Linked DNA regions of Cricetulus griseus. The protein of the gene in region 1 interacts with the protein of each later gene in a pairwise test. Links are inferred from orthologs where the notes say so. Each region holds a gene or a part of one and is shown on either strand. Other genes may lie near its edges. The genes, in order: Akap12 and Fhl1.

Region 1 (8,647 bases):
TTAGTCACTCCGAGAAAAAAATCCAAGTCAAAGCTGGAGGAGAAAACGGAAGACTCCGGGACAGAGCAATTGGCTTCAGACGTTGAGCTGAGTAAAGAAGAATCTTGGGTTTCCATTAAGAAATTTATCCCTGGACGGCGGAAGAAAAGGCCGGATGGGAAGCAAGAACAAGCCACTGCTGAAGACATGGCGTCCACAGAAGTCAATGAAGATGACCCTGATGTCCCGGCTGTTGTGCCTCTGTCTGAGTATGATGCGGTAGAAAGGGAGAAGATGGACGCGCAGCAAGCTCAGGAGAGTGAGGAAGGGTCCCAGCTTCAGGGGGCCCTGTACGTGTCTGAGGAGCTTAGCAAGACACTGGTTCACACTGTCAGTGTGGCTGTCATTGATGGGACCAGGGCAGTCACCAGTGCCGAAGAGCGGTCTCCTTCTTGGATATCGGCTTCTGTGACAGAACCTCCTGAACAGGCCAAAGACGAAGCCATACCCTCCACTAAGGAGGTCACTGAAAGAGATGTCATTGCAAAAGAAACCCCTACGGCCACCCAGACCTTGCCAGAAGGCAAAGATGCCCATGACGACACAGTTATCAGCGAGGTGGAATTCGTCTCGGAAGCTGTGACAGCTGCAGAAACCACAGAGGCTCTCCATGCTGAAGAAGTCACTGAAGCATCGGGAGCAGAAGAGACCACAGACATGGTGTCAGCGGTTTCCCAACTAACCGACTCTCCAGACACCACAGAGGAAGCCACCCCGGTTCAGGAGGTAGAGGGTGGTGTGCCAGACAGAGAAGAGCAGGAGCGGCAGACACAAGCCATCCTCCAGGCAGTTGCAGAAAAGGTAAAAGGGGAGTCACAAGTGCCTGCCACCCAGACTGTACAGAGAGCGGGGCTGAAAGCACTGGAGAAAGTGGAGGAGGTTGAAGAGGATTCTGAAGCGCTGGCTGTGGAGAAAGAGCGAGATGTCGTTGTGCTGGAAGAGCCCGTGCAGGGAAGTGAAGCTGAGCATTCTGCATGGGGCTCTGAGATTGGACAGAGTACTCCAGATAGCCTCAAAGCAGTTCCCGAAGTCACAGCGGGTGTAGAGTTGAAGGAGCAAGTCACCACATGTCAGGCTATTGAGCCCCAGCAGCTGTTGGATCAAGTTGTAGCCCCCGAGTCATCCGAAACCCTGACAGACAGTGAGACAAACGGAAGCACTCCCCTAGCAGATTCAGACACTCCAGATGTGGCACAGCAAGATGAGGTCATTGAAAGCCAGGACAGTAAAGCCATTGCAACTGACAGGCAGTCACAGGTCACAGAGGCTGAAGCAGCTCTTGCTCAGAAGGAGGGACCTTCAGTGCCACCCAATTTTCCACCCCAGGAAGAATATGGGGAAAAACCGGGAAGAGATGTTCTAGAACCAGTGAAGCAAGAGCTTGCTATGGAAGCAGCACCTGTTCTGGCAAAGACCGAGGTGGGTCAAGAGGCTAGCCACTCTGATGGCGAAAGAGTCAAAGACGAACTCTGTGTGGAAGGACTGGAGGTGTCAGTACACACAGATGGCCCCGACAGTCGAGAAAAGATTGCTGAAGTGACACAAGATGGTGAGGAGATAACAGAGCCTGAATGTCAAGAAAAGGAGTGTGTGGAAGCGCAGAGCCTTAACCCGGAGGAGAGAGAGATGGGAACTGATGTTGAGAAGGAGAAAATGGAAACAAAACCAGAGCAAGCGAGTGAAGAACCTGAAAGGAGAGCGGCCTCTCCTGAGTGTGAAGAAGCCCACCCACAGCCTGTCCAGACCGTTGACGCGTCCATCTCAGAGAGGGGAGAGGAAATGAGCAGCCTTGAAGGAAGCTCCACTCTCCCAGACCAAGACGAGGCAGGTTGCATACAGGTTCAAGTTCAAAGCTTGGACCCACCAGTAACCCCAACAGCTGTATCCATGAGGGAGGTTGCAGAAACTGTCAAGACTTCAGAAACAGATGGAAGTCTGGAGTGTGTGGGTACACATTTAATACCAGCAGAGATGTCCTCTGAAAAGGGTGACCACTGGACTTCTCAGCATGGAGAGGACATTGTGCCCTCGGGACCAGAGAAGCAGGCAGAGTCTGTCCCAGTAATAGTATCACTGGCTCCTGAAAACACCCTACATTCTGACTTGCAGGGAGAGATAGGTGCATCCCAGAAACAGAGATCAGAGGACGAAGATGACCAGGAGAGTGCAGCAAGGGAGGGAGGCCTCAAGGTTGAAGCTGAGATCTTGGAGCTCCAGAGTGAGAGCACCAAGCTTGTCGAGAACATCATCCAGACAGCCGTGGACCAGTTCGCTCACATCGAAACAACCCCCACAATCTGTGCTCCTGATTCACAGACCCAGGTTCCGGTGATGCAGGCTGACAGCCAGGGAGCTCTACAGATGCTGGATGAAGAAGAAAGCTGCCATCAAGACTCCGCCCAAGATGAAGCAGTGACTGCTGCAGCCCAAGATGGGCTTGCCCTTTCTGATATTTCCGAAGGCAAGAGCAAGCCTTCAGAAAAGATCAATATGCTTGCAATTGAGAGTGTCAGTATCAAAGACCAGCAGTGTGAGCAGGTGATTGTCCCACTCGGGGCAGAGGGAGATGGAAATGGAGCAAAGCCTGTGCCAGGTGATGATTGTGCCAAATTAGAAAGTGTAGAGAAGCTGCCACCTGAATCCAAAAATCTAAAGGGGCATGCTGCTGATGGCCTCCAACACCAAAGCTCAGCCCAGGCAGAGGCAGATGCCTTGGGAAATCTAACCAAAGAGTCTCCAGATGCCAATGGACCAAAGCTAACAGAGGAGGGAGATGCCCGGGAAGTAGGGATTCAGGAAGGAAAAACGCACACCGAGTCAGTCAAAGAGATGAAGCCCCAGACAGAAGAGGACCTACGGGAGCCTGAGGGAGACCTGGCAGAATCCTAAGATGTTAGGTAGGTAAACTTCCTTCTGGGAGGTTGGTTCCCTGTCCCACATCCCACATTGATACAATTACATGGCAATAACTGATTGTATACAGAACCTTCAGTTGGAAATAATTATCAACTAGAGTAAGGATAGTAAGTAATCTATCAACGGTAGATTTTTTGGGTTTGTTTGTTTTAAATTTATTTTTATGCGCATTGATGTTTTGCCTGTGAGAGGGTGTCGGATCCTCTAGAACTGGGGTTATAGACAGTTGTGAGCTACCATGTGGGTGCTGGCAATTGAACCTGGGTCCTCTGAAAGCGTAGACGGTACTCTTAAGCACTGAGCCATCTCTCCATCCCCGCCCCCCCACCCCACCCCCTTTTTTTTTCATCAGAATCCCACCAAGTCTTACTGGTGTCATGAAAATAATGGCTTCCTTTTGCTCTTTTTTTTTTCCTTCTTTCTTTTCTTTGAGACAGGGTCTCACTATGTAGGCCTTACTGTCCCGGAACTCACCATGTTAACCAGGCTGGTGGCTTCTGTCCCTCTCCTTCCCATGCTGGGATTAAAGGTGTGTGCCACCATACCTAGATCAGCCAAAACTATTAACATTTTAGTTTAGGGCCTGGAGAGGTTAAGAGTGTGTACTGCCGGGAGCTGGAGGGATGGCTCAGCCATTAAAGGCTAGGCTCACAACCAAAAATATAAGAATGTATACTGCCCTTGTAGAGGAAAAGAGGTCAATTCCCAACACACATGTCAGGCAGCTCCCAACCACCTGCAATTCCATCTCTAATTCAGCCACCTTCTGGCCTCCTAATACCTCTGTGACCATATTCGTACTCACACAAAGACACATAAATCAAAATCCTCTTTTCAAAACTAGTTTATAGCTATTTGGGAGAAGCATGGACTCCAGCCCAGCCCAGTTCCCAGCAGCACTGATGAGCATTTTTTAGCTTGCAGTGCACCTGAGCCTGGGAGGAGGTGTCTCTGCTGATTAACCTTATAGCAGTGGGACACAATATGGACCATGCTATCTTTTGTTTTAGCCCAGGGTGGCCTTGAGCTTGCTATGTAGCTAACGATGGCACAGATGACCTTCAATTTCTGATCTTGCACTTCTCTAGTGCCAAGTGTCCCACCATACCTGACTTTTCTTATGTTTGTTTGTTTCTTTCTTCCTTTTTTTTTTTTTCCTTTGCTTTTTTAAGACAGGGTTTCACTGTAGCTTTGGAAGTTGTCCTGGAACTCACTCTGTAGACCAGGTTGGCCTTGAACTCACAGAGATATGCCTGTCTCTGCCTCCCCAGTGCTGGAATCACAAGGTGTGCGCAACCATGCCCAGCTTTCCTATTTGTTTTTTAGAGACTGTGTAGCCCAGGCTGGACTTGAACTCCAGGTAATCCTCCTGCCTTCAGTCTCCTGTCAGTAGATTACAGGCATGAGCCACCACCACATCTGGCTCTGGTAAGATGCATTTCTGTTGGTGTTGAGGTTGGAATCCAGGGCACATTCTAAGTCAGTATTCCTTGGCTATAATGCCATCGTGTGTGTGTTAACAGTATGGAGATACACTGTGCCATCTTTCTAGCCCTTAAAAATGTTTGATGGTTGCGTGGGTTGGTGCCTACATAATGTGGGTGGGATAGGGTGCCTATGCTATGGCGCGCGTGTGTGTGTGTGTGTGTGTGTGTGTGTGTGTGTGTGTGTGTGTGTGTGTGTCAGAGGACACCTTCTGAGGGTTGAACTCAGGTCTCCACACTGTTCTAGCAAACACCTTTAGCTACTGAGCTGTCTAGCCAACCTCTTTTTCTTTTTTTCCAAGACAGGGTTTCTCTGTGTAGCTTTGGAGCCTGTCGTAGAATTCACTTTGTAGACCAGGCTGGCCTCGAACTCACAGAGATCCACCTGCCTCTGCCTCCAGAGTGCTGGGATTAAAGGTGTGTACCACCCCATTCCCATAGCTCTTGTGCTGTGTTGTGTCGTCAACAAATTGAGGCAGGAAAAGAGGTCTTTATTTCTCTCTCCTTTCTTACTCCTACAGTTACTCATATCTGCAAGGCCAGAATGTGAAGGCAAGCCACGGAAAAAAATGCTGCTGTTGAGACCAAGATTGCTGAGTCCTTGAGATTCAGAGTGGGCTGTCCGCTGACTTCAACCTTGGAGAGCACCCCTGACAATCCTGAGGCTTCACCGGGAGCTAGAGCCAGCTAACATTTCCTTGTTTAAAGACTGCCTTTGATTTTTCCCTTGATTCCATGTATTTCTGATTGAAGGTCCCTACATTCAACCTGGAATCAATGTTGGCAATACCTAGTTCTACTTCTCAAACTGGAGCATCCTCCTCTATATATTTATATGTATGTTTTCTGTAGTCCTCCTCATGTACCTATTGTATATTTTTTTTCCTAATGTTTAAGCACATGCCTTTTGTATTACACAATATATGACGGGTGTGCAGCTGTAGTGAAGCCTTGAGAAGCTCTGAGCCTCAACTATAATCTGTGGCAAATAGAGAAATAACATTCCTGAGAGGAAGGTACAAGTCATTTTAAAGGTCACTGAGCTTGGGTTTATGGGTTAGTAGTCCTCTGAAAGTGGTCGTTTTCCTACGCATAGGGAGCTCAGAAATAAAACACCATTTGGAAACATCTAGAATGTCCCAATATTACTGTGATGTGTTTCTTTCTAATCCAGTTCAGGTTGGAAAGCAGTCTCCTTAGTGGCAGATTAAGTCCCTTCTCTTAATGACGTGGACAGATGAGTGTGCCTAAGGCCGTGATAGGTTTTCCATCTCATGCAGAAGGAAATCTGTTGTACTTTTTTGATTGTACTCTTATATCCTGGATTGAATTCGTAAGCAGAACCAAGTGAGTCCCATTCTTTATAAAATGGTATTTTGATAGATACTGGAGTGTGTCTGTGATATCTGTGCCCCTTTTAAGAACAATGTTGCATTATGTTCATTTGAACAAATTGTGGTTTGACAACTGATTTAAATAAAATATTTGCTTCACTTAGATTCACGGTTTTGTTTGTTTGTTTTGTTTCCGTGACAGGGTTTTCCCTGAAACTCTCTATCTATATTCCAGGCTGGTCTTGAACTCAAAGATCCACCTGCCTCTGACTTCCAAGTGCTAGGATTAAAGATGTGCGCTGCTGCTACCCAGCTGGGTTCACTGTTTTTTGTTTGTTTTTAAATAAATCCTGTTTTATTATGAATACAATATTTGCTTGCATTTATGGTTGCTCACCAGAAGAGGTCACCAAATCTCATTATGGATGGTTGTGAGCCACCATGTGGTTGCTGGGAATTGAATTTAGGACCTCTGGAAGAGCAGCCAGTGCTGTTAACATCTGAGCCATCTCTCCAGCCCAATTCACTGGTTTTTATTAAGTGCTAAGGGGCCTGGGTCCCATGCACAGTGTTAGAATAAAATACTAACAATGCAAAGACAATGAGGGAGAAGCTGGGACTTTCTTATCAATGACCCCATGAAGACATCAGGTCACTTTGCACTGGTTTGACACATTGAGGAAGCCATGATGGGGAGGGGTTTTGTTGAAGGAAACCAGTAGAACCAGGGGTTGTGGCATATACCTGTAATCCCAGCACTCAGAAGGCAAGGCAAGAGAATTGCTGAAGTTTCAGACTAGCTAAGAATGAGACTTTTTAAATTCTTTATTTCAAAAAATAAGGCTTGGCAAAATGGCTCAAATCGTGTCTTAGCTAAGGTTTTATTGCTGTGAAGAGACACCATGACCATGGCAGTCCCATTTAATGGAGGATGGCTTACAGTTTAAGGTGTAGTCCATTCTCATCATGGCGGCATGGTTCTGGAGAAGGGACAGTTCTACATCTTGAATCACAGGCAACAGGAGACCGTGCCACAGAGGGCATAGCTTGAGCATATATGAGACTTCAAAACCCGCTTCCACAGCAACACACTTCCTCCAACAAGGCCACACAGCTCCTAGTAGTACCACTCCCTATGGGCCAAGCATTCAAACACATGAATCTACGGAGGCCATACCTATTCAAACCACCACAAATAGTAAAGGCACTTCCCTTGCAATTCTGGTGAACTGACTTCTATCTGCAGAACCCAGGTAAACACATTTTTACGTAGTTTCTGGATAGTCAGTGTGGATTTCCCTTGACATACCAACTGTGGTGTTTTGAATAAGAATGACTCAGAGTTTAAGGGCATTGGCTGAGTTCAATTCCCAGCAACCACATGGTTGGTGGCTCCCAACCATCTGTAGTGAGATATGATGCCCTCTCTGGTGTGCAGGCAGACATGCAGATAGAACACTTGTACCAAAATAAATAAACCTAAAAAATAAAAAAAAAAAAAAAATGAAGAATGGCCCACTATAGGCTCATATATTTGAATGCTTGATCCCTTGTTGGTGGGGCTGTTGGGAGGGATGAGGAAGTGTGTCACCGAGAGGATGAACTTTGAGGTTTCAAAAACACATGCCATTCCCAGTTGCTTTCTGCCTTGTGGTTGTGTCTCAAGATGTAAGTGATCAGCTATTGCCCTATGCTTGTCTACCCACCTGCTGCCATGCTCCCCACCTAGATGGTCATGGACTAAAGCTCTGACATTTTAAGCACAAATGAGCTCTTCTGTTAAGTTGCCTTGGTCTTGGTGTCTCTTCACAGCAATAGAAAAATAAGTAAAACACCAACTATTAACTAGATAAGAATTGGAACCCCTTTCTCAATTCTAATGGGGCATGCCTCCGACCCCAGCATTTCAGGAGAAGGGGCAGGAAGATGCAGGCTATGCTGGACTACAGAGCAAGTTCCAGGCCAGTCTAATAAGACCATTTCTCTGCCCCAACCTTATCTCCTGGGATCCTGGAAATGAGTGTCTCCCAGCACTGCACACTCCTGGATATCTGTCACCTCCTGAAATTAGTATAATAGTATAATCTATACTTTTTTTTTTTTTTTTCCGAGACAGGGTTTCTCTGTTTAACAGTACTGACTGTCCTGGAACTCCCTCTGTAGACCAGGTTGGCCTCGAACTCACTGAAACCCACCTGCCTCTACCTCCCAAGTGCTGGGATTAAAGGCATGAACCACCACCGCCCGGCCTTAATCTATACTTTTTATGCCTGACAAAGTTGAGACAAGTGGCAACACAGGTTGAGGCTAAGATGACCACAGGATAAGAGACTTGGCTACAGTGGATGGAAGATTGGGGATTTAAGTATATTTTCTATTCTTTTTATAACTAAGTTCAGTTAGTACTTCCAGTGTGTGCATGGATGTGGGGCTCTCCACCGGAGCTTGAGCAATATGTCAGTGGCCATACTTCCAAAGAAAAATGACCCTTTAAAGGTCTCTTCTAGGGCTGGAGCGAAGGCTCAGCAGTTAAGAGCACTTACTCTCTGAGGACTGGTGTGTGTGTGGGGGGGCGGGGGAGGGCTCATGCCTTTAATCCCAGCACTTGGGAAGCAGAGGCAGGCAGATCTCTATGAGTTCGAGGCCAGCCTGGCCTACAGAGCAAGTTCCAGAACAACAAGGGCTACACACAGAGAAACCCTGTCTCGGAAAAAAAAAAAAAAAAAAAAAAACACCACACCCAGCTCTTTTAAATATTTATAGAAAGATTGTAAAGGAAGGATTATGAAGCCTTTCCCAGCAGCGATAGTGCAGAAATCTGAACTTTGGGCAAAGTCTGTTTTGAGACTGGCCTGGAACTTGTGTAGAGTAGGC
Region 2 (9,290 bases), on another chromosome or scaffold:
CAATGTGTTATGGAGTAATTTTTATGGGATGATACTATGCATTTCGTTTTAAATAGTCCAGACTTTGTGTTTTGGAAGCAATGGGTGGAAGGAGTCTAAATAAAATAAAATGAATCATATGTAGATAACTGTTAAGGAAAATGTTTGAAGCCACGTGGTAGTGGTCACATCTTTAATCCCAGCACTTGGGAGGAAGAGCCAGGCGGATCTCTGTGAGTTCAAGGCCAGCCTGGTCTACAGAGTGAGTTTCAGGGCAGCCGAGGCTGCAAGGAGAAATCCTGTCTCAAAAGAAAAGAAAAGAAAATGTTTGATGCGTGGAAGTTTATTATACTATTTTCTCTATTTCGCCTCTAGGAAATATCTTTAAAAGAACTTCCAGGTTCCAAGAAACTAGAGGGAGATATAAGCAAAAAAGACATGTTACGTTGTTCATCATTTTATGATGGAAATAGACACATGAAATTACCTGGTATGTCACCATTGTCTGCTGTGCTAATGGCATGATCCAAATGCCATGGGATCAGTGGATTCTGTCTGAGATGCTCAGGGGCAGTTTGGAAGAGGGAATGAGGCTTTACTATTTGAGAGGGAGGATTTAGCAGACTTTGTAATTTGATATGGACTCAAAAGTAATGGTATGTTTGATTTTGAATGCTGGGGGTGGCATGCCCACAATGGAGACAGAATATATAGGAGAAATAGATTGTGAAGGGGATTGGCACAGAGTTCAACTCTGGAGTTCCAGAGGCTGAGCTATTCTGAAAATGTAGAAATGGTGAGGAATTCACGGAAACAGTTCTAGCCAGAATGCACTTCAGTGATAAAAATATGGTGAGTAAAATGCACAGACTACATTTCACAGTCCCCCTAGTCTCCAGTTTGGTGCAGCAAAGTCTTTGAATGCATAGTATGGTTGGTTGGAGAGGTAGATGCACTCATTGACGTCATGTTGGTCTCCATCATTGCCATGGGGCTTGATGAACCTGAAATGGATCAAGTGTTTTAATTCTTAAGCTCTCTTGTGGAAAGGGATCATGATACTCAGGTATGACACTTTCAGAAAACCAATCACTTACCTGAAATAAGTAACCAACTGGGATTGGTAAAAAGTGATCAGCAGTCTTTCTTCTTTTGTTGTTTTGGAATTACAGTTTATTGGATTGTGAGCTCTATAGCCGCTGTGTTTTATTTTTAAATCTTGACTTCAAAGGTAATTATTCTCTGTAAGGTAGGAATCATAGCATCAAATATGAGAATAAATCAGATGGTGAATATAACTTTTCTCTCTCTCCCTCCCTCCCTCCTTCACTCTCACAGTGCAAGCCTCATGCTAGGCAGGTACTCTACCATGGAGCTATTTTCTTAGCCCTCTCTCTATCAGTACTTTTTGAAGAGAAGGCAAAGTACTTGATAGCTTTGTGTATTAAACGCTCCATATTTCCTTCCAACAGGCTTTAAGTTCTACTGAAATTGAATGCCTCCTGTAGATGGAAGCTTCTGTCCCACCTGGTCCTGCAGGTCCTGCAGCCATTCAGTCCCAAATGCACACACAGAGGCTTATAGTAATTATAAACTGTTTGCTCTATTGCTTAGGGTCATTACTCACAAACTCTTACAACTTAAATTAACCCATCATTCTTATCTTTGTTTAATCTCGGGAGTTGGTACCTTTCCTCAGTATGACATTCTCATATTGCTTCCTCTGCTTCTGGCCGGTGACTCCCTTTCCTCTTCCCAGAATTCTCCTTGTTTGGTAGCCCTGCTTATACTACCTCACTGGCCACTGGCCAATCAGCATTTTATTAATCCAATATGAGTGACAAATCTTTACAGTGAACAAGAGCACTATCCCACATCAACTCCTTTCCTTATGTCTATTACATTACTCAAAACCAAACCAAAACAAAGCCAAGCTTACTCAGTTCTGGGATTTATACTATCTGAATCTAGCCTATTCTATTTTTTTAATCTTCACATTTGAACATTACAAAAATGTTCTAACACAAACACTCCACTTGGACAACTCTTTTCCTTCTATCTTGCTTATTCAGCAACACTACCACAGTTCTTTAAGTGAAACAATGTGTTTCTGTGATCTCCAGAAATTGAATTCCAATGCAAGAAGATGAAGTGTTAAGAAGGCGGCAGGGTTGGCTTTGGGTGCAGATTTAGCTGGGGTGATGTGAGAGGTGGGGCCAGATGCCTGAGACCTCCAGGGAGATTGATGAATGTCTACAAGAATGAGGAGATTAGGAAAGAAAGAAGCAGGCTGCTGTGGGGCAGAGAGCTGGTGAGGGTCGAAGGAGGTCAGGAAAGAAGGAAGGGTGAAGAAATGAAAGGGAAGAAAGCGACAATTACTACCAATTGAGCAATGGGAGGTTCCCGAAGAAAGGCTCTGTTGGATCTCCGTGAGCTCGAGGCCAGCCTGGTCTACAGAGCGAGTTCCAGGACAGCCATAGCTACACAGAGAAACCCTGTCTGGAAAAAGAAAGAAGGAAGGAAGGAAAGGGAAGGGAAGGAAAGGAATACTAACTTCTGTCAGAAGACATATTCTAAAGGCAGGCACTTGTGCCCCTCCCATTTGGCTAGCAGGATAATGAAATAGTCACAATCTTCCCAGGAATCTCATGCTGGCTGAAGGGAAAGGTTGAAGGAGGAACCTGTTTTCCAAGAAGAGATTTCACACTGTTTCTTGACAACTTAAGGTCAGACTGCCTTGCAGGACATATTGGAGCTTAGTGGTGTGTCAGTGATAGGCCAGATCACACACAACCAGCTTAGCTACACACACTTCTTGCTCTCTATTCAATCCTAATCCTCATGCTAGATGGACTTGAGGGTCACTCGGCCTCTTTATTTGTTCCTCCTCTCAACGTGGCTACATAGAGTAAATCTCCTTCCTTTCTCTGCTTTTCACTATTTCTTGTGTCTTTAATTGGCATAAGCAGAGACAGGTGGTGGAGCCGATCTTGTTAGGACCGCCAGAGCCCAGGCTTTGATCCTAAAATCTCCAGTAACAGGCTCTCTGTCCGGAGCCGTCCAGAGCTTTCCATTGTGAGTGCTCTTGGCCATTTCTTTCTGGTTGAGCCCAGGGCTGGTATGCTGGGAGCTGCTTCAAGTGGAGCTAATTGTTCAGTGCTTTCCCATGAGGGCCTGGGGCAGATCTGCTTCTTTTCCTAAGCAATGTGCAGCAAGTCTTACTTTGCTAATCCAGAAATAGCAAACCCCAGTGATTCTAAGGGCTCAGAATGAGAAAAGAAGACTCAGCTCTGGGTAGCAAGGGGGGGGGAAAGCATTTTGCAACTATCTCTTGGCTCTCTGGGAAAAGAGGCCAGCACCTGGTTTATTTAATTTTTTTGTAATTTTTTATTAGTTCAAATTAGGAACAAGCTTGCTTCACATGGCAATCCCTCCTCCCTCTCCCTCCCCTTCTCCCTAACCCCCCAACCTCTCACCCGCCCCCCACCCCATCCAGCCTCCACTCCCCAGGCTGGGTAGGGCCCTCGACAGGGGATCCCCAAAGTCTACCACATCATCCTGGGCCGGGCCTAGGCCTCCCCCATGTGTCCAGGCCGAGACGTGGGATGGGCTCTCAAAGTCCCTTCTTACACCAGGGAAAAATAGTAATCCACTACCAGTGGCCCCCTAGAGTGTGAAGGCCTCCTCATTGACATCCCTGTTCAGGGGTCTGGATCAGTCCTGTACTGGCCTCCCCGACAGCAGTCTGGGATCCATGTGCTCCCCCTTGTTCAGGCCAGCTGATTCCGTGGGTTTCACCAGCCTGGTACCGACCCCTTTGATCTTCATTCCTCCCTCTCTGCAACTAGGTTCCAGAGTTCAGTTCAGTGTGTATCTGTGGGTGTCTGCCTCTGCTTCCGTCAGCCACTGGATGAGGGCTCTAGGATGGCATAAAAGTAGTCATTAGTCTCATTTTAGGGGAAGGGCATTTAGGTTATCCTCTCCACCATTGCCTAGATTGTCAGTTCGTGTCATCCTTGTAGATCTCTGGAAATCTCCCTAGCAGCACCTGGTTTATGAAGCATGGGGAAAACAGCAATGTTGAGACTGTTTGCTTGGCTTAAACACACAGCTGCTCCACCTCTCAGCAACATCTGCTTCTGCATAAAGGACCAATTCTCTCCTTCAATCCAGCCTTCATTTTGTAGCAAGACTTTGGACTCCTTCAATGAACCTTTCTCCTGCCTCACCAGATATCCCCTACAGGCTAGCCCCACCTTTCCAAGTCACAGCAGAAAATGAAAGTTTGCCTCCACCCTACTCATCCTCTTGGGTCATTTTCCTTTCCATCCCTCTTTACAAGGAAAGATTGCAAAGCAGTTTTCTTTAGTTCACCTGCAATTCTCTCAATATTCTTCTATCAACTCCTTCCACTTAAGTCCACTGGCATGATAGTTTTCTCCTGCATTTTTTTTTTTTGTCTCTGCTCCTTCTGTCTGGAAAGTTTTCCTTGGTTCTTTATATGGCGCTGCTTTTATAGCATCCAAAGCCTAGATTAAATGTCACCTTCTTACCCACATTACTTGCAACCCCGTCTTATCCTGCAGTTTATCCAAGTGTGATTATTTTCTCGCCTACTCATGTTTTCTTGCTCCGCTAGTAAGGCAGAGTGTGTGCACAACTGCACTGTATCTACAACATTTGGCACGGTACTTGGCACATGGTGAGGGCTCGCTGAACGGAAGGAGTGAAAGAACTAGTCACTACGTGAAGCTCTGCCTGTCGTAAGTGCTTTAGGAACGACGGAAAACCCTCTGGATACAGGCTCTTTGCCTTCTGTCCTGCATGCTAGTCAATGGCAGAGGTGATCAGTGGGTCTCTCAGCATGATGAAAACCAAGAGATCCGCAATCGCGGGCTGTGATGGGGTGTGCAGGTCAGCGAGGCCCCAGAGAGGCCAGAGGCCACCTTGGCTGCCTCTCTTTGTTGCTCCCACCTCCCGGGCTCTGGCCGCGGCTGCCTGCAGTGACTCGTGACTCCCCAGCAGCCCGCCGAGGCCTGCGCCCGCGAGGGAGGAGGCAGCAGTCGCCCCCAGCCCTCCCTCCGCGTGCCCTTTGGACGCTGGCGGCTGCTCAGGGAAGCGGCGCCACGGCGGGCTCGCGGCCACTTCCCGCGCGCACCCGTGCACGCCTCGCAGGCAGCAGCGGGCCTCTCCCGAGGCGCCCACGCAGCCCGCGCCCCCTTCCCGCGCTTGCCCGACCGGCTCCCGCCCCCCGCGAGTTTCCCCGCACCGCAGCCCCGCGCCACGGGCAGAGCCCAGGCGGACGCGCGCTCCGCCCTGCCCCGCCCCGCCCCGAGTGGCCGCGCCCGCCCCCTCCCGCCCCCGCGCGTGCTCCCTCCTTCCCTCCCACTCTCGTGCGCCCCTCCCCGCGCGCCCTACATCCACCGCCCGGCCGAGGGGGCTCAGTCCGCAGTCGCCACTGTCGCCGCCGAGCTTTGGCCACGGAGCTGGCAGCGGCCACCGGTGCCGCCTAGACAGCTGCACGGGTGAGCATCCCCAGAGAGTAAGCCCGCTTTCCCTCCGCGTGTGCGTGGGTGTGCGCCTCCCGCGTCCCTGGGGAGCCGCAGCTCAGTGCTCCGCGGCCGCCACTCCGGGGCTGCGCCGACCTGCAGGGCTCGGGTACCTGCGGCCTCCGGCCTCGGTGGCCTCGCCCACGCTGGGGGGCTGCGGAACCCGGGGCTCCAAGGTCCCTTAGGGTGCGTGCTTCGGCTCCCCCCCAAGGCTTTCGCTCCCCGGGTGGGGAGCGGGATTCGGAGGGGGGTGGCTCTGGGTCTCTCCTCTGCAAGGATGGACGGTGGGAGTAAAAAAGAGGGGGCTTTTGGTTTTCTCCCCCAGGATGGCGGGCAGTGGGGGTGGGGCGAGGTGGGGACACCTTTAGATTTTTTTTTAAAGGATAGCAGCAGTTGAGAGTAGCAGGGGATGATGATGACGATGGGGGGGGGTGCTTCACTGGGTTTCCATTAAGGATGGCGCCTGTTGGGCTGGAGAGGAAGGTGGGAACCTGCCTTGGCTCCTTCCACGGAGATGTTAAGGGAGCTGCGTGGTGGATTTGCCTTTGGGGATGCTGGGGGTGGCAGGAAGGGAGCGCAGGGAGAATAGTGAGGCAGGGAGAGGGCTGCTTGCAGCGCTTCTGCTCTCCAAGGGGAATGGCAGTGGTGTGGGGAATGGGGGTGGGGAGAGGGGACTGGATTTCAGCTCTAGCGTGGAAGCAAAAGGAAGGTTCTAGCACTTAGGTTCAGTCTTGGTTGAGCCTTGACAAGGTAGGTTAGGAAAACTGCTGGGTGTGACCTTTCTATTTCAGAAAAGCCTGAAATTCCCACTACATGCTGTCCTGGGCTATAGGGAAGAGGTTTCTGCTTCTGAAGTTCCCATTGCTTAGCCACTGATAATGCTGTGTATTATTTTCTGCATTTGGGCCTTTTGAGTTTCTCGGTCTCATTCTGATTACAAGGACCCCAACGACTAGGGAGGCACATTGGGAACAGGAGACAAGAAAGTGTATGAATGTGATTTCAGATTTGGTTTTTGAATTTCCTGAAGGGCAAGAGTGGGACAAATGTATTTGCTGGAAGTCCTCTGTACTCTTCATTTAAATTATGCCATAGGGACTATCTGAGCCTCCTTTGATTTGAATTTGGAATAGATCCAGTTTTCCTAATTGGAGCTATCATTTGGTAATTGCTTGTAATTCTCCATGTTATCAAATGTATTTCGAGTTTATAAAATACTGGGAATATTTTTGTTATCTTGATTAAGGCTGTTTAGTATAAATGTAATGGCCCTTGGAAATGAGAACATTTACAGAATAGCACAAGTTTAAATTCTGGGTCACGTGGAATTGGGTAAAGAGTTTCCATCCTCGTCCATCCCCAGTAACAGGCCGCTCCCCATTCCATACACTTGAAAAAACATCAAGGGACTGAGGTTGGTAGTTTTGTCTTTGGAAATTCATGCCCATATTTGCTTAAGAAAAATGTGCATTTAAAAACTGTGGGCCTTAAATGTGCTAGGACTATAATGTTTTCCCATCTTGGTTACATAAGGTTCCAATCTAGTCTACCTTCGGTCTTTAAAAACATGTATTTAACATTTTTAAGGGCAAATATGATCTTTATGCAACAGGAAATTTGTTAGATAGGCCATGATTTGTAGAAACCACCACACAAGTAAGTACACATTCTAATAGTACCATATAGATTCTGTAACTATTCATGGCTTTTGAAATTCTAGGCTTCCATTCCAATATTTAATTTTTTTAGAGAAGGAAAATATTTTTTTAAGCAAGTCTAGATTTGGGGATAAAAAAATGTAACATGCAAATTGGTAAAATTTCTTCTTTTATGAGTTCTTTGGAGATAATATGGTTAAATGAATTGATCACTTGAATAAGATATTGACTTTATTTATTGCAAATGTTAAAACTACATGTTTAAGTGGAAGTAGAGCATGGGTCTGCATGATTAACAAAAATGCATTTACTTATGCTATTGTGTACCATTCTAACATTTATGTGATGTGTGTTCCGCATCAATGCAGTAGTGAGAAAGAGCATTGTGTTCACAATATAATTTAAGCCTGGTGTTTTTTCCCTGAGGAATAAGAATGATGAAAATGGTAAAAAAAAAAAAAAAATCTCTTAAAAGGAGCAGTATGTTGGTGGGAAAATGGACCTTAAGTTTCTCTCTAAACAAAAGGAGCAAAGGGAGTCTTTACTTGGCTTTTTGAGAACCTGTTGTAAGATGGGAGGAAAAAAGATGGAAGAACTTTCAGAAATTAACAGTCTAGTGAAATAGTTGTTCTAAATAATCTTAAAGATTTGGCTAGTTATCTATTGGAAAAATAACTTGTAAATCAAGCCTTTGTGTGAGAAACTCAGCACCAGGCCTTCAGTTTGAATATTTCTTTATTTATTCATTTGTTGTAGTACTGGGGATGGAACCCAGGGCCTCACACATGCAGAGCAGGCGCCATTGTCATGGAACAACTTCCCTAGCCCAAGTTTAGACATTAAAAACAAATAATTTGTTGAAGGCATGGCAGCTAATCTCCTGAGGCTGTACCCTGTTTTCCTAATCTCTTCCTCCTGGTTCTTCTTTTCCCCCTTACCATCCCCCTTCCCCTCCCCCCCCCTCTGGTGCCAGCAACATTGGCTTTTATAACCTTGTGGGAGTTGAACAAATGTTCCTGCTTGCTTGAACTTTAGTCCTTATCTCGTTGGCTGCTTTCCTTAGCTTTTGTCTACACATTACTTGTTGTTGTTGTTGTTGTTAACTGAACTACCCAGTTGTTTGGATTTGGGATAAAAGGGAGTATATTGTTATTTTTTTCCTTAAGAGATTTTTTTCTATCAGCCCCTGTTGAACATAGCAAAAAGTTTCCCTCCTCCCCTCCCTCTCTCCTTCCCTCCCTCTCTCTTTCCCTCCCTCCCTCTGTTCCTCTCTCTGCCTCTGTCTCTCTCTGCCAGCACAGTGCCTAATTAAGTAGAATATATGACCATTCCATTCTTCAACAGACATTTACATAGTCAGCTCCTCACATGGAGGCTCTTGTACCTGGTGCCCAGATACCAAATATATAAGAAATACTTCCTGCCTTTCTGGTGTGATTATAGAAAGGTAAAGTATAGACAGTTAATCTATTGTGAATAATTAAGTTATATCTGGAGTCTTTTGACTATCCCCCTAGTAGCTGTGTATACGATAAACATTCTTCAGTCCTGCAAACAATGAAATCATTTCTTTCTAGTGACTTAGTCTGAGACATAGTTTTCATTTTGGGTAATATAATTAGCTTTGGATTTCAGCAATCAGCTGTTGAAAATATTTACAAAATGTCAATCTTTATTAAACATTTATAGACTTTTCTTTGTTGTATGAAAACTGCATAGCATTCATATGGTATTGAATATCATAAGTAATTTAAGATGATTTAATGTATATTAGAAAATGGTATAACTGATGTGCAAATACAATGTAATTTTATATGAAAAACTTGGTCATCTATGGATTTTGCTATCTATAGGTTCTGGAGCCATTCACCCATGGATATTGAGAGACTGTCTTATAGTCTATGGATTTTCTCTTTAAAAGTTTTTGTTATTATTATTATTTTGGAGGCTGACCTTCAACTCTTAATCCTCCTGCCTCTGCCTCCTGATTGCTGGCACGCCACCATGCCCATCTTTCTCTTTTTTAGTCAATATAGTTTTAAGTATTTATGAGGTACAGTGTGATAAGTTGATACATAGATATAATCTGTAAAGATATTTTCTA

Evidence for each region.
Region 2: the proteins of Akap12 (region 1) and Fhl1 interact in binary tests that used the Homo sapiens proteins (3 or more experiments, as listed by UniProt). The link is inferred for Cricetulus griseus from reciprocal best matches to the Homo sapiens genes AKAP12 and FHL1.

The regions. Positions count from the first base shown.
Region 1 is NC_048595.1:282,047,057-282,055,703, forward strand, and holds the end of Akap12 (A-kinase anchor protein 12), read left to right. Parts: coding exon 1-2,928; 3' UTR 2,929-2,936; intron 2,937-4,745; exon of another isoform or gene 4,746-4,763; intron 4,764-4,840; 3' UTR 4,841-5,938; downstream 5,939-8,647. UniProt on the Homo sapiens protein: Anchoring protein that mediates the subcellular compartmentation of protein kinase A (PKA) and protein kinase C (PKC).
Region 2 is NC_048604.1:15,695,132-15,704,421, reverse strand, and holds the start of Fhl1 (four and a half LIM domains protein 1), read left to right. Parts: upstream 1-4,722; 5' UTR 4,723-4,742; intron 4,743-5,374; exon of another isoform or gene 5,375-5,521; intron 5,522-5,695; exon of another isoform or gene 5,696-5,714; intron 5,715-9,290.